Ovis aries: one gene and its partners. The protein of the gene in region 2 purifies or fractionates together with the protein of the main gene of each other region. This does not show direct contact. Links are inferred from orthologs where the notes say so. Each region holds a gene or a part of one and is shown on either strand. Other genes may lie near its edges.

The links.
Region 1: the proteins of SMURF2 (region 2) and TGFBR1 purify together in Homo sapiens (affinity purification with western blotting; 8 studies listed by BioGRID). This does not show direct contact. The link is inferred for Ovis aries from reciprocal best matches to the Homo sapiens genes SMURF2 and TGFBR1.
Region 3: the proteins of SMURF2 (region 2) and SMAD4 purify together in Homo sapiens (affinity purification with western blotting; 3 studies listed by BioGRID). This does not show direct contact. The link is inferred for Ovis aries from reciprocal best matches to the Homo sapiens genes SMURF2 and SMAD4.

Annotation. Positions count from the first base shown.
Region 1 is NC_056055.1:48,711,171-48,714,822, reverse strand, and holds part of TGFBR1 (TGF-beta receptor type-1), read left to right. Parts: intron 1-3,225; coding exon 3,226-3,351; 3' UTR 3,352-3,652. UniProt on the Homo sapiens protein: Transmembrane serine/threonine kinase forming with the TGF-beta type II serine/threonine kinase receptor, TGFBR2, the non-promiscuous receptor for the TGF-beta cytokines TGFB1, TGFB2 and TGFB3.
Region 2 is NC_056064.1:48,570,275-48,574,026, forward strand, and holds the start of SMURF2 (E3 ubiquitin-protein ligase SMURF2), read right to left. Parts: upstream 2,614-3,752; 5' UTR 2,144-2,613; coding exon 2,092-2,143; intron 1-2,091. UniProt on the Homo sapiens protein: E3 ubiquitin-protein ligase which accepts ubiquitin from an E2 ubiquitin-conjugating enzyme in the form of a thioester and then directly transfers the ubiquitin to targeted substrates.
Region 3 is NC_056076.1:50,874,362-50,878,013, forward strand, and holds part of SMAD4 (mothers against decapentaplegic homolog 4), read left to right. Parts: intron 1-139; coding exon 140-352; intron 353-3,652. UniProt on the Homo sapiens protein: In muscle physiology, plays a central role in the balance between atrophy and hypertrophy. When recruited by MSTN, promotes atrophy response via phosphorylated SMAD2/4.

The sequences.
Region 1 (3,652 bases), on a different chromosome or scaffold from region 2:
CTGGAATCAAGACTGCTGGGAGAAATACCAATAACCTCAGATAGGCAGATGATACCACCCTAATGACAGAAAGTGAAGAGGAACTAAAGAGCCTCTTGTTGAAGGTGAAAGAGGAGAGTGAAGAGGCTGGCTTAAAACTCAACATACAGAAAACTAAGATCATGCATCCAGGATCATCACTTCATGGCAAATAGGTGGGGAAAAAATGGAACAGTGAAAGACTATTTTCTTGGGCTCAAAAATCACTGAATGGTGACTGCAGTCATGAAATTAATAAAGATGCTTGCTCTTTGGAAGAAAAGCTATAACAAACCTAGACAACATATTTAAAACAGAGGTATCACTTTGCCAACACAGGTCTGTATAGTCAAAACTATGGTTTTTCCAGTAGTCATGTATGGATGTGAGAGTTGGACCATAGAAGCCTGAGTGCCTAAGAATTTATGGTTCCGAACTGTGGTGCTGAAGAGTCCCTTGGACAACAAGGAGATCAAACCAAGTCAACCCTAAAGGAAATCAACCCTGAATTTTCATTGGAAGGGCTGGTGCTGAAGCTCCAATACTTTGGCCACCTGATGTGAAGAGCTGACTCATTGGAAAAGACCCTGATGCTGGGAAAGATTGAGGGCAGGAGAAGCAGGTGACAGAGGATGCGATGGTTGGATGGCATCATTGACTCAATGGACATGAATTTGAGCAAACTCTGGGAGATAGTGAAGGACAGGGAAGCTTGGCGTGCTGCATTCCATGGAGTCAGAAAGAGTCAGACACAACTGAGTTAACAACCATTATTATGATACTATTATAATATTGGTAAAACAAAGCATTTCCCTTTGGAGTTGATGTTTTGTAGTATAGGAAGAATAAAAAGCTGTTCACTTAAGTAGTTTATTTTACATCTTAAAAGTAGGACACAACTGAAGCGACTTAGCAGCAGCAGACTTCATTAGATACTTGTGAGATCAAGAGAGTTCCTTGGCTGCCTCCAATGAAATCCAGTATGCAGGCCCAGACAAAATATATTGTGTGCTCACAGAACCTGCATGTTTAACAAATGAAATTGGCCTAGATTTTGTCTTTGAAAAATTTCATCTTGACACTACAAACTGGAATTATTCATGCACTCATTCAATAAGCAAATTAGAGCAAATTAATATTAAACAGATGGCTAATTAAGCATGAAGTTAGTAGTTAACATTAAAAACATACATGCAAGTTGCAATTACTGTCGCAGCATGTTGAATTAATGCCATCACTGTCATTTTAGATTTTCTCTCGATTTAGCTAGTTTTGTATCACTAACTTAATCTTTCACTTTTCTTGGGTTTTACAAATCTCCCCTCAGTAGCTGAAACACATTGAGAATTTGAAACTGATAGGATGCCTACGGAAGTGTTTTTCAGAGCCCTCTGACCTTTTCCAGTCTGAAAAGCCAGTCTGGCTCTAGGCCAGCTTTCATCTTGGGATATCCCTCACCTTTCACCTGTGATCTCTCTTGCCTCTTCTGTGGTGACTGCCTTTCTGAATCCCATGTCTTCACATTTCTTGGTTTGCTCATTTATCCCCCTCTTCCAGCTCTTTGCTCAGATGTTACCTTGTCAGTGAGACGTTACCTGTCAATCTATTTAAAATAGCACTTTCCCCCCCCCCTGGCATATTTTATCTCCTTCCCTAAATGATGTTTCTCCTCAGCACTTAGCACGGACAGTCCATGCATTCTGCTTATTTATTATATGCTCTAGCCCTCTATAACGTAAGCTTTATGAGAGCAGAAATGTCGTCTGTTAGTTCACTGCTGTGTCTGTTAGTGTATCCTACCAGATGCATGTAGGATGGCATCTGGATTATGGCACTCAGTTTGCTGGATGATTTTATGCATGTCCTGAACCCTTGGTCATTTTTACCTGAAAACAAATGTTCATTTCTAGGAAATTTTCCTCAAGTATTCCCTTCCATTTTCCGTTCTTTTTCTTCAACTCTGGTTATGAATGTAGACATCCTGAACAGGCATTCTGATTTTCTTGTGTTTTTCTTCCTATTACCCATCTCTTTGTTTTCTTTTCTCTACTTTCTGGGAAAGGAATCCGCCTATATCTTTTGGTCTTATTATTATCACTCAGGTTTATCTTGTGGTTTCATAAAACTTTCCCCAAACCAAACAAAACCCCAAAAAAGTATTGATAAGTCCAGTATCAGTAATCTCTGAAGATATTAATGATGGATTGTTGATATTGTCTTCTATACACCTTTTGGTTTTTCCAAGGTGTTGTTTTCTGTGTCAGTTTCTGCATTTCATATTACTTTCCTGAAATGTTTGATCAAGCTCATGCTCTGTATAAAAGCAGCACTGAAAGCTGATAGGAAGCTTTGTGCACGTGAATGGAGCTTATCTTCCACTGCAGTCTAAGGGTGAAGTAACTGGATTGCTTCCTTGGGGAACCACTGATGTCTCTCTTTAGGCTTTTCTTCTTGGGCTGAAGACTCTTCTGGTCTCTTACCTGGAGGACCATGTAAAGTCACTGGCCGTGTTCTGGGGAGAAAGTTTACTGTCTTAGCATTTAGTGTGTTGTCAGTGTGGAATTTTGCCCTTATTTCCCCAAGACGGGAATCTGTTCTGCTCTCTCAGATTGAAACCTCTTGTCTTCTGTTCGGATGGGGTGGGATGGTCACCCAGCTGTGTGAAGTTGGGGCAGGGCAGGTATCTGGGTTTCCAGCTTCTTTGGCTGATTCTATTTTTACCCTGAACTTCACCCCAGGGATACAGGATATAAGTTAATTCCTCAGTTTTGGGGGCCATTTCATGTGAGTCAGGTTCTCTTTGCTTTGCACAGCTCTTTTGAGGATTCAGGTTTCTCAGGCTGCCAAGTAAATCCTCCTTTGTCCATCTGCTTTCCAGCTGCTGGCACCAGTATCCTGCTGATGGGAATTTAGGTCATCTTTACTCATTTGCTATTACAAATAATGCTGAAACAGAAATACTTGTATGTCGTTTAAAAAGAAAATTTACAGGTAGATGAGATGGCTGGATGGCATCACCGACTCGATGGATGTGAGTTTGAGTGAACTCCGGGAGATGGTGATGGACAGGGAGGCCTGGCGTGCTGCGATTCATGGGGTTGCAAAGAGTCGGACACGACTGAGCAACTGAACTGAACTGAAAGATTATTATCCAGGTCGTTGAAACATGGTGCATGCATTAATGATCTTTCTTTTCTTTTCTTGTAGGCCTTGAGAGTAATGGCTAAAATTATGAGAGAATGTTGGTATGCCAATGGAGCAGCTAGGCTTACAGCTTTGCGGATTAAGAAAACATTGTCACAACTCAGTCAGCAAGAAGGCATCAAAATGTAAATTCTGTGGCTTTGCCTGAACTCTACTTCTTCTTCAGATCTGCTCCTGGGTTTTAATTTGGGAGGTCAGTTGTTCTACCTCACTGAGAGGGAACAGAAGGATATTGCTTCCTTTTATGACGATGTAACAAGGTGAACTAAAACATCCCAGGATTTCTTCAGACCCAGGAAACTGCCATGTGGGGTCCTTTCTGTGCACTATGAACGCTTCTTTCCCAGGACAGTTACAAAATGTTGTGTAGTCTACCTTTATTTTTTATTAACACAGAACTTGTTTTTTTAAATGATTGCTGGTCTTAACT
Region 2 (3,752 bases):
ATCTATACCATCTAATTTGTAAGTGGACAAAAATGAAAAAATACATATTAACCTTCCTGGCAAAACAGAAGGGACTTCTACCATTCGTAACCAAAAGGAAGAAGGCGAAGTTTTTAATAGTTAAATAGTTTTCTCTTAAAATATGACAGAGACAAATTCCCAATGGTTTTAAGAAACTGAGAGTATCTAAAACTGTTTTTACAATTAAGGGGACAAAGTGTATTTAAAATTCCTCAGAAAAATCTAAAAATACAAAATTACTCTATAGATTTAGCCCAGTATTCCCTATCCCTTCAAAAATAAGTGTAATCTTTTCTCCTAACTTTACTCATGAATTTTTATAATGTATCATATGTAGGAAGAAAACCACAGATAAACACTTCAAGATCTTCTGAATCACATTAAAAACCTCAAACTCATTTTATCTGCAAAAAGTCAAGAGCCCTGTTTTCTCCCTCATGCTCTCATCGTGTATATAACCTAGAAGGAATTAAGTGGCCACCAGGCTATTTCTGATGCCTTTTGCACACCTGGAATCACAGGTTCTTTCCATGATCACTGACACAAGACTGACTCCACAGAGGAACAGCAGTAGATAAACTCTACGACAAAGGTCCCTTACAAAGGTTTCCATTGATTAAGAAAATAAGGAAACTGAATGGGGGGAAGTAGGGGAGACAGGCATCCCCCAATCCAGGTTTTCCATTAAGAACCACTCAGTTAATGATTCTTTGCAATATTCTCTAGAGAAAGTAAAACTGTCATGAAAGTAATATATTTTAAAAATTGCTGCCAACATACAGTCAGGCTAAATTCTCGAATACCTAATTCACTGCAAGTTTTTATCTCGAAAGTTCAGCCAGTGGACTGGGATGTAACAGACAAGCATTCAATTACAAAATTAGTCCATATAAATCTCAAAGTCTAGTGGAGACAAACATAATTACAGTTTATTCTTACACACGCACCCACACACACACACACATTCTCTAAGGAAAGTCATCTTTCTCGCCACATATCCGAATATCAACCTGCATAATTTATTAATAGCGAATAATGAAGCCAGAATTACAATGGTTTCATTTACACGTTTCAAACTCCAAATAATTTTTCCCTAAAATGGGGTAAAACGACCATGTAAGATCAAAAATGTACTTGTAACACTAAAGATCTAACACACCTGGGATCATAAACACTTCGTAAGAAAAGCCTGCTATCCAGCAACCCCTCCAGACATTCTTTTCCATTTAGAAAAAGGAAGGGGAGGAGAGTGGGGAGAGAGAGAAAAACTCTGCTTCAAAGTCCGTTTGAGCACAAACTTAGAAAGGGACTCAAAAAAAGTGTGTTTTTAAAGCAGGTCTAGAGTTAGAAGCGAGACACAAGTTCTGCGGCCTACAAGGAACAACCCCAAACATACTACCCTACAATCAAACACTTCCAAAACACAGAGGGTACAATGAGCGCGAGTCGTCGGATCAGGCAGACACACCGGAAAAGTCAACCTCGGTCTCCTTCCCTATAAAGTCGTGCGTTTCAGGTGTGTGGAACCGACGGCTGCGCCTGGCAGCCGAGAGGGAAGGTTTTGCACGCGGGCATAAGTGGGCGAACAAGTTAACAACCGGGGAACACACACACACACCCTCCCGTTAAGCGCTCCATCTTTAAGGAGTGTTTACTGCGCGCAGTCAGCAGCCGGATTCAATAATCCCCGCCACAGGAGCTCCTCATCCCCTCCACGACCCCACCTGGGCAGCAGCCCAAGGGCTGCTCCCCGACGCCCCGGGAGAGAGTCGTGCTTCTCGGCCAAGGCTTTTCGACCTCAAATCCGCCTGGAATTCCAACGGGGGGACCCCCCCCCCAACAACAACAACAAAAGACCCCCGAGTCACCCTTGGCTTTTCTAAGAATCTCCCAACGAGGGAGACTGGTTTTGCAGTTACTCTCCCTGAACTAGGCCTTCCCACGTCCCCGACCTCCCACTCACCATTGATCGCGACCCTGGCCCTTCTCAAGGCCACAGGCACCCCCCGCCGGCTCGCCCACCCCGCCGCCGCCCCGGCCTGGCTCCCGCCGCCCGCCCAACCCCCTCACCTGTCAGGCGCAGCTTGACGGGCCCGTTCCTCCGGCCCCCGGGGTTAGACATGTCCCCGGCGGCGGGGGCGGCGGCGGGGCTGCGGCCGCGGCGCGGGGCCCGGGGCCCGGGGCCGGCGGGCGGCGGGCGGGGCGGGGGCGACGGTGAGGCGCGGCGCAGTCACCACAGCGGCCGGGGCTGGGGCCCGAGCAGCCGGCGCCGCGGCCGCCACGGCCGGAGGGTCCCGGATGTGCCGAGCGTCGTCGCCATGAGCCGCGGAGGGAGCGGGACGCCGAGCTCCCCCCTCCTCCCACTTCTCTTTCCTTGGCCCGGGCCGCACAACAAAGCGGCAGCCGCGGCCGGCCGCGCCGCCTCCGCCCGCGCCCCCGCCGCCTCCACGCAGCCTCCTCTGCCGTTCCCTCTTCTCGGCTCGGTGAGGCCCAGGAGCCGACGGGGCCGGGCGGTTGTGGCGGGCGGTGCTCGGCGGCGCCGGAGCAGGATTCTGGGCTCGGCCGCTTCCTCCTCCACCCGCCCTCTTGTCTGAGGAAACCCGGTCCTGGGGCCGCCGCCGCCACTCAGCGGCTCCGGGGGGCGGGGTGGAGACGGGGGCGGGGCCGACGAGGCGGGGAGGGGCCGGGGGCGGGGCCTGGGCGGCAGCGCGCGGAGCACCGAGGGGGGGCGGAGGCGTCAGGCCTGGCTTCGGCCTGGGCGCGGCGGTCCGGGCTGGTGAGCCCTGCTGTCCCACGCAGAACTTGAGGAAGGAGCGGGCAAAGGATCTGGGTGGCGGCGCCGACCTCTGTGGTGCCAGGAGGGCCTGGAGTTCAACCCGCTTAAGGGAGAGCTTTTGTCCGCGAAATACAGGCTGCCTTTATTAGACGCCCACCGCGTGCAGGGCGCTTCTCTGAGAGGCAGGGGCCAGCGGTTAGAACCGAACCTGCTGCGGTCCGGATTGAGCCTCGGCTGGAGTGAGGCAGGAGAGGCTCTTCCCACACCGAGGGTTCCGGCAAATCCCTAAGGGTATTTTGCTCCTGGTAGCGTAGTTTCCACCTCCATCCAGGACTCACCTGGTGAACGAGATCAGGTTACCAGCCTGCTTGGGCTCTTTTTTTCAACTGTAGCGCAGGGATAGGCGGATGATAATGCCTTAAAGGATAATTAACAAGATAAGCCTTTGAGAGCAATGTATGAAAGCTCTTCGTACAGGGCTGTATTTTGTTATCTCAGGAGGAAAAAAATAGAAAATGAAATAAAAATAAATGTACCTTACCCTTTGACCCTGTAATTGCACTCAGGAATTTATTCTTGATATAATAGTACAAAAGATGTTCTTGCAAAATTCGGTTAATAACAAAAGGGAGACGAGCTGACAGTCTAATGGCGAATTTCATTACATCAACCGCATAGGTTTTAATGCCCCCATTTAAGTGGCAATTACGAAGATCGTATAATATGGAAGAGTTTATAAATAATCAAAGTTTAAAAGCAGAATAAAAAGTGGTATCTATGCATGCAAAAGTGTACATGGAGGATTTTTTGTGTGTGCTGTTTTGCTTAAGGCTACTACTATTGCAATTTTAAATGTTTAATAAAATCTGATATATTTTAATCCTGTGTCATTTGTCTCTTTTAATTCATCAATAATGTCATTTAATTCTCCAGATCAAGTTACCTCCAAGAACTT
Region 3 (3,652 bases), on a different chromosome or scaffold from region 2:
AGAATGCTTTTAAAGTAGTATGAGAAAATTCTGAGTTACACTCTAGTTGACTTTAGGTGTTCTTATGTTACTTACAAGATTTTTTTTCCTGGGAATAAAAGCTTACAAGATTTTAAAATATGTTTGTTTTTCTGTGTAGCTCCACCAAGTATGTTGGTGAAGGATGAATATGTTCATGACTTTGAGGGACAGCCATCATTATCCACTGAAGGGCATTCAATTCAAACCATCCAGCATCCACCAAGTAATCGTGCATCGACGGAGACATACAGCACCCCAGCTCTCTTAGCTCCATCTGAGTCTAATGCTACCAGCACCACCAATTTTCCCAACATTCCTGTGGCTTCCACAAGTGAGTTGTAGAGTCAGATATAGTCAGCAAGATGAATTTTCCTAACAATTGAATATTTATAGGTAGTCACTTGGAGGGGACGTCCGAGTAAGTGAATATTAAAAGTACTGTGGTTATCTTTCATGGGTTAACAAGCATCAGATAGGTTTTTGAGTTGTCCTGGAAAAAAAAAATATTTGTAATTTTAAAAAGTTTAAATGTATCTTAATGTAACAGAACATAAACCGTCTTATGTTGATGTATAGTCCCTTGGAATTTAAATAATGCTTTAAATTAGTGGTCTAATTTGTACTTTATTACATGCAGAAGAAGTCTATTGAGCTTTCACATAAATTTTAGAGAAATGTTTAAGTAGAGAACAAATAGTTTTGAACCAAGATATTTATAGAAATCTGTATTAATGGAATTGCAAACTTTCCTCTAATCAGTGTTTTTATTTTGCTTTATCTGGCAGATTACTTTATAATCGTCATCTCAGTCTCCAGTTGTACAAGCTTATTAGAAAAAAGGACCTTGACAAATTTATTTGTAACATATGACCCTCAGGATAGATGTTAAGTGTTCTAGTCAGTTTTGAAATAAAGCTAAATTATATGTATCTTTTTTTTTTCCTAACAAGAAGTGTATTTTAAAAAGATTCTTGGGATCGTATGTACACCCGTGGTGGATTCATGTCAATGTATGGCAAAACCAATACAGTATTGTAAAGTAAAATAAAGTAAAAATAAAAATTAAAAAAAAAAAAAAGAAAAGATTCTTTCCAGTTTAGAGGTACTGCCTTCTCTGCTGTGTCATGGAAGCAGAGGGCTATTAGGTTCAGCTTTTCTTGGGGCCTGGTCAAGGCAATAATGACCTTATGTTGGACAGTGGAGTGGCCTTTTTTTTTTTTTTAAAAAAAAGAGTACAGTTGCTTTACGGTGCTGTGTCAGTTCCTGCTGTATAGCAGAGTGAGTCAGCCACATGTATGTCTGTCTTTTTTCTTGGATTTGCTTCCCACTGAAGTCACCATAGAGCACCGAGTAGAGGCCCCTGTGCTGCGCAGTAGGTTCTCACTAGTTAGCAGCTTCATGCATCGCAGTGCATGTGTGTCAGTCCCGGTCTCCCAGTGCGTCCCCACCCTGCATCGCTCCTGTTTTATTTTTAATTACTCACAGAACAGGGTCTTGGCATTTGTATTACTGTGTTATTTGTACATCAGTGCTAAGGAGATTGTATCTCAGCCCACAACAGCAGTAAATTATTGATGCATCTGGACTGATACTTTGTATATTGATATCAAAGGAAGCATATTCTATTTATTTTAATATCAGATCAAGTTCAACATAGAAATTTGATCTTTGGAACAAATGAAGGATTTATTTCTACAGTTGAATTTCAGATAAAGTACACCAAATTTCCCCCGCTTTATTTTACCTTTTCAAATAATATCCTTTGTATTTCCTACACAAGATGACAGTCTTCATACAGACAGCATATTCCAAATAGGTTGGACCATATAGGTTAAACACATACTTTAGAGCCTGAACCTTTAATCACTTGGTGCTTCTGTTATCTCTGTATTAACCAGTTTGGGAATATAGTTGATAAACGAGTGGGTGGGGAAGGAAAATAAAAGAAGGTGCATTATAGCCACTTGAGCATAGATTAATGCCACTTACCTCTATTGATACTATCTGAGGATTGAATTGGCATGCCTTTGTTGATGATTGCTCATGCAACTTCATTTTAACCATTAATGTTACTGGGACCAAGTCCTAGTCAAGATCAGAAAAAGTGGTATAAATGAAATATGGGTAATTTTGTCTTGGTGTTTTTTGGATGTATTTTCACAATGAGTAGTAATTAACTGTAAGTTTTAGAATTTGTTGCAGAATGTTCCCTTAGATCTTAAAAGATATATTGATAAAATTAGAAAAAGGAAATGACTAAAATAGAGGAATTAAAAGACTTCATGAGTTGTTTTAATTTCATTTTATGTTCTTGGAATTGTGTAATGAAAGTATTCAGTATAGATAACTGTAGTGGGCGTTATGTTCAATTGGAACCTGAATATCTACAGGGATTCTTTCTAAATTAAGATAGTTCAAATTCTCCTGCATAGTGACAATTTTTGTAAGATAGCTAAGAGTATATAACATGTACAGTTGTTAAAAACAAGAGGAAATATGCAATTAACCTTCAAAGATTACCTGTAAAAATTTGAGGGGGATGAGTAAGAAGGGAGGTTGCTGAAAATATCATCTTTAAAAATAAATACTTTAGGGAGTATTGAAATAGTCTTTTTAGCTTTTAATTATATAATCTTAGCCTTACAGAAATCTGATTTGTAGCAGGAAGAAAAGTTTTCTTTTTTCTTGATACTTTGAGCTGTTCGTTGCATATTTGGGCAATGGTGTCATTTACTCCCTTCTATCTGATTATACTCCTATATGGTTGAGAAAAGATTAAGGTAATGCCAGTAACAATAATTATGGAATTTTAGTGCTTTCCAAGTGAGATGCACAGTTGACTTAATACTTGCTTGAAAAAATTTAGCCTTTTTCACACAAAAGATACAGCCTTAAAAATGTAAGCAATTTCATAGAATGGTTTTAAATAGAATAGTTCTCCTGTTTTATTACATACAGAGAGGGCAACTAATTTCTTGTAAATCCAGGAATATGATAGTGTTCTTAGAGGCAATTCTTGATATTTAAAAGTACATGAGAAAATATCACAATAGACTGATTTTTTTTTTTTTTTGGTTTATTTATTAAAACTCGCAGATGCTGCGTTAACCGGACAGTGGAGCTTACCTTTTTTCCTCTTAACTTTCTCACCTTACCATTACATTCCATTTAAAATACTTGTCTGCTCTGCTTTTTTATTGAACTTTAGCATTCTGCTATTGCTACCATTGCTGATAATAATGAGCTTTCCAATTTTCAACATTTCCTTGAGCCTGGACATTTGGAATCCTAACAGAAAGATGCAAAAGCTAGATGGAGTGGCTGTGGGTGAGCTAATGTACTTCTGAAGAAGTTATTAAAATAGGCTAGACCTGTACTGGGGTTTTGCTGGCATTTGGAGAATATTTATGAAGAATGGGCCACTAAAATTAGCTAGATATTAGAATAATTTTGAACTTCTTCAGGTTAAGGTTTGCCTTTATAGATGACTGCAGGGTTTTTTATTTGGTAGGCCATGGGTGACTTCACTCTTTGCTCATCTTTATAGTTGTGACTTTCAGGTATAAAATCCTTCATTTACTGTGTAAAGCCATAGGATTGCATCTACAAATGTACCATATTAATGTCTTCT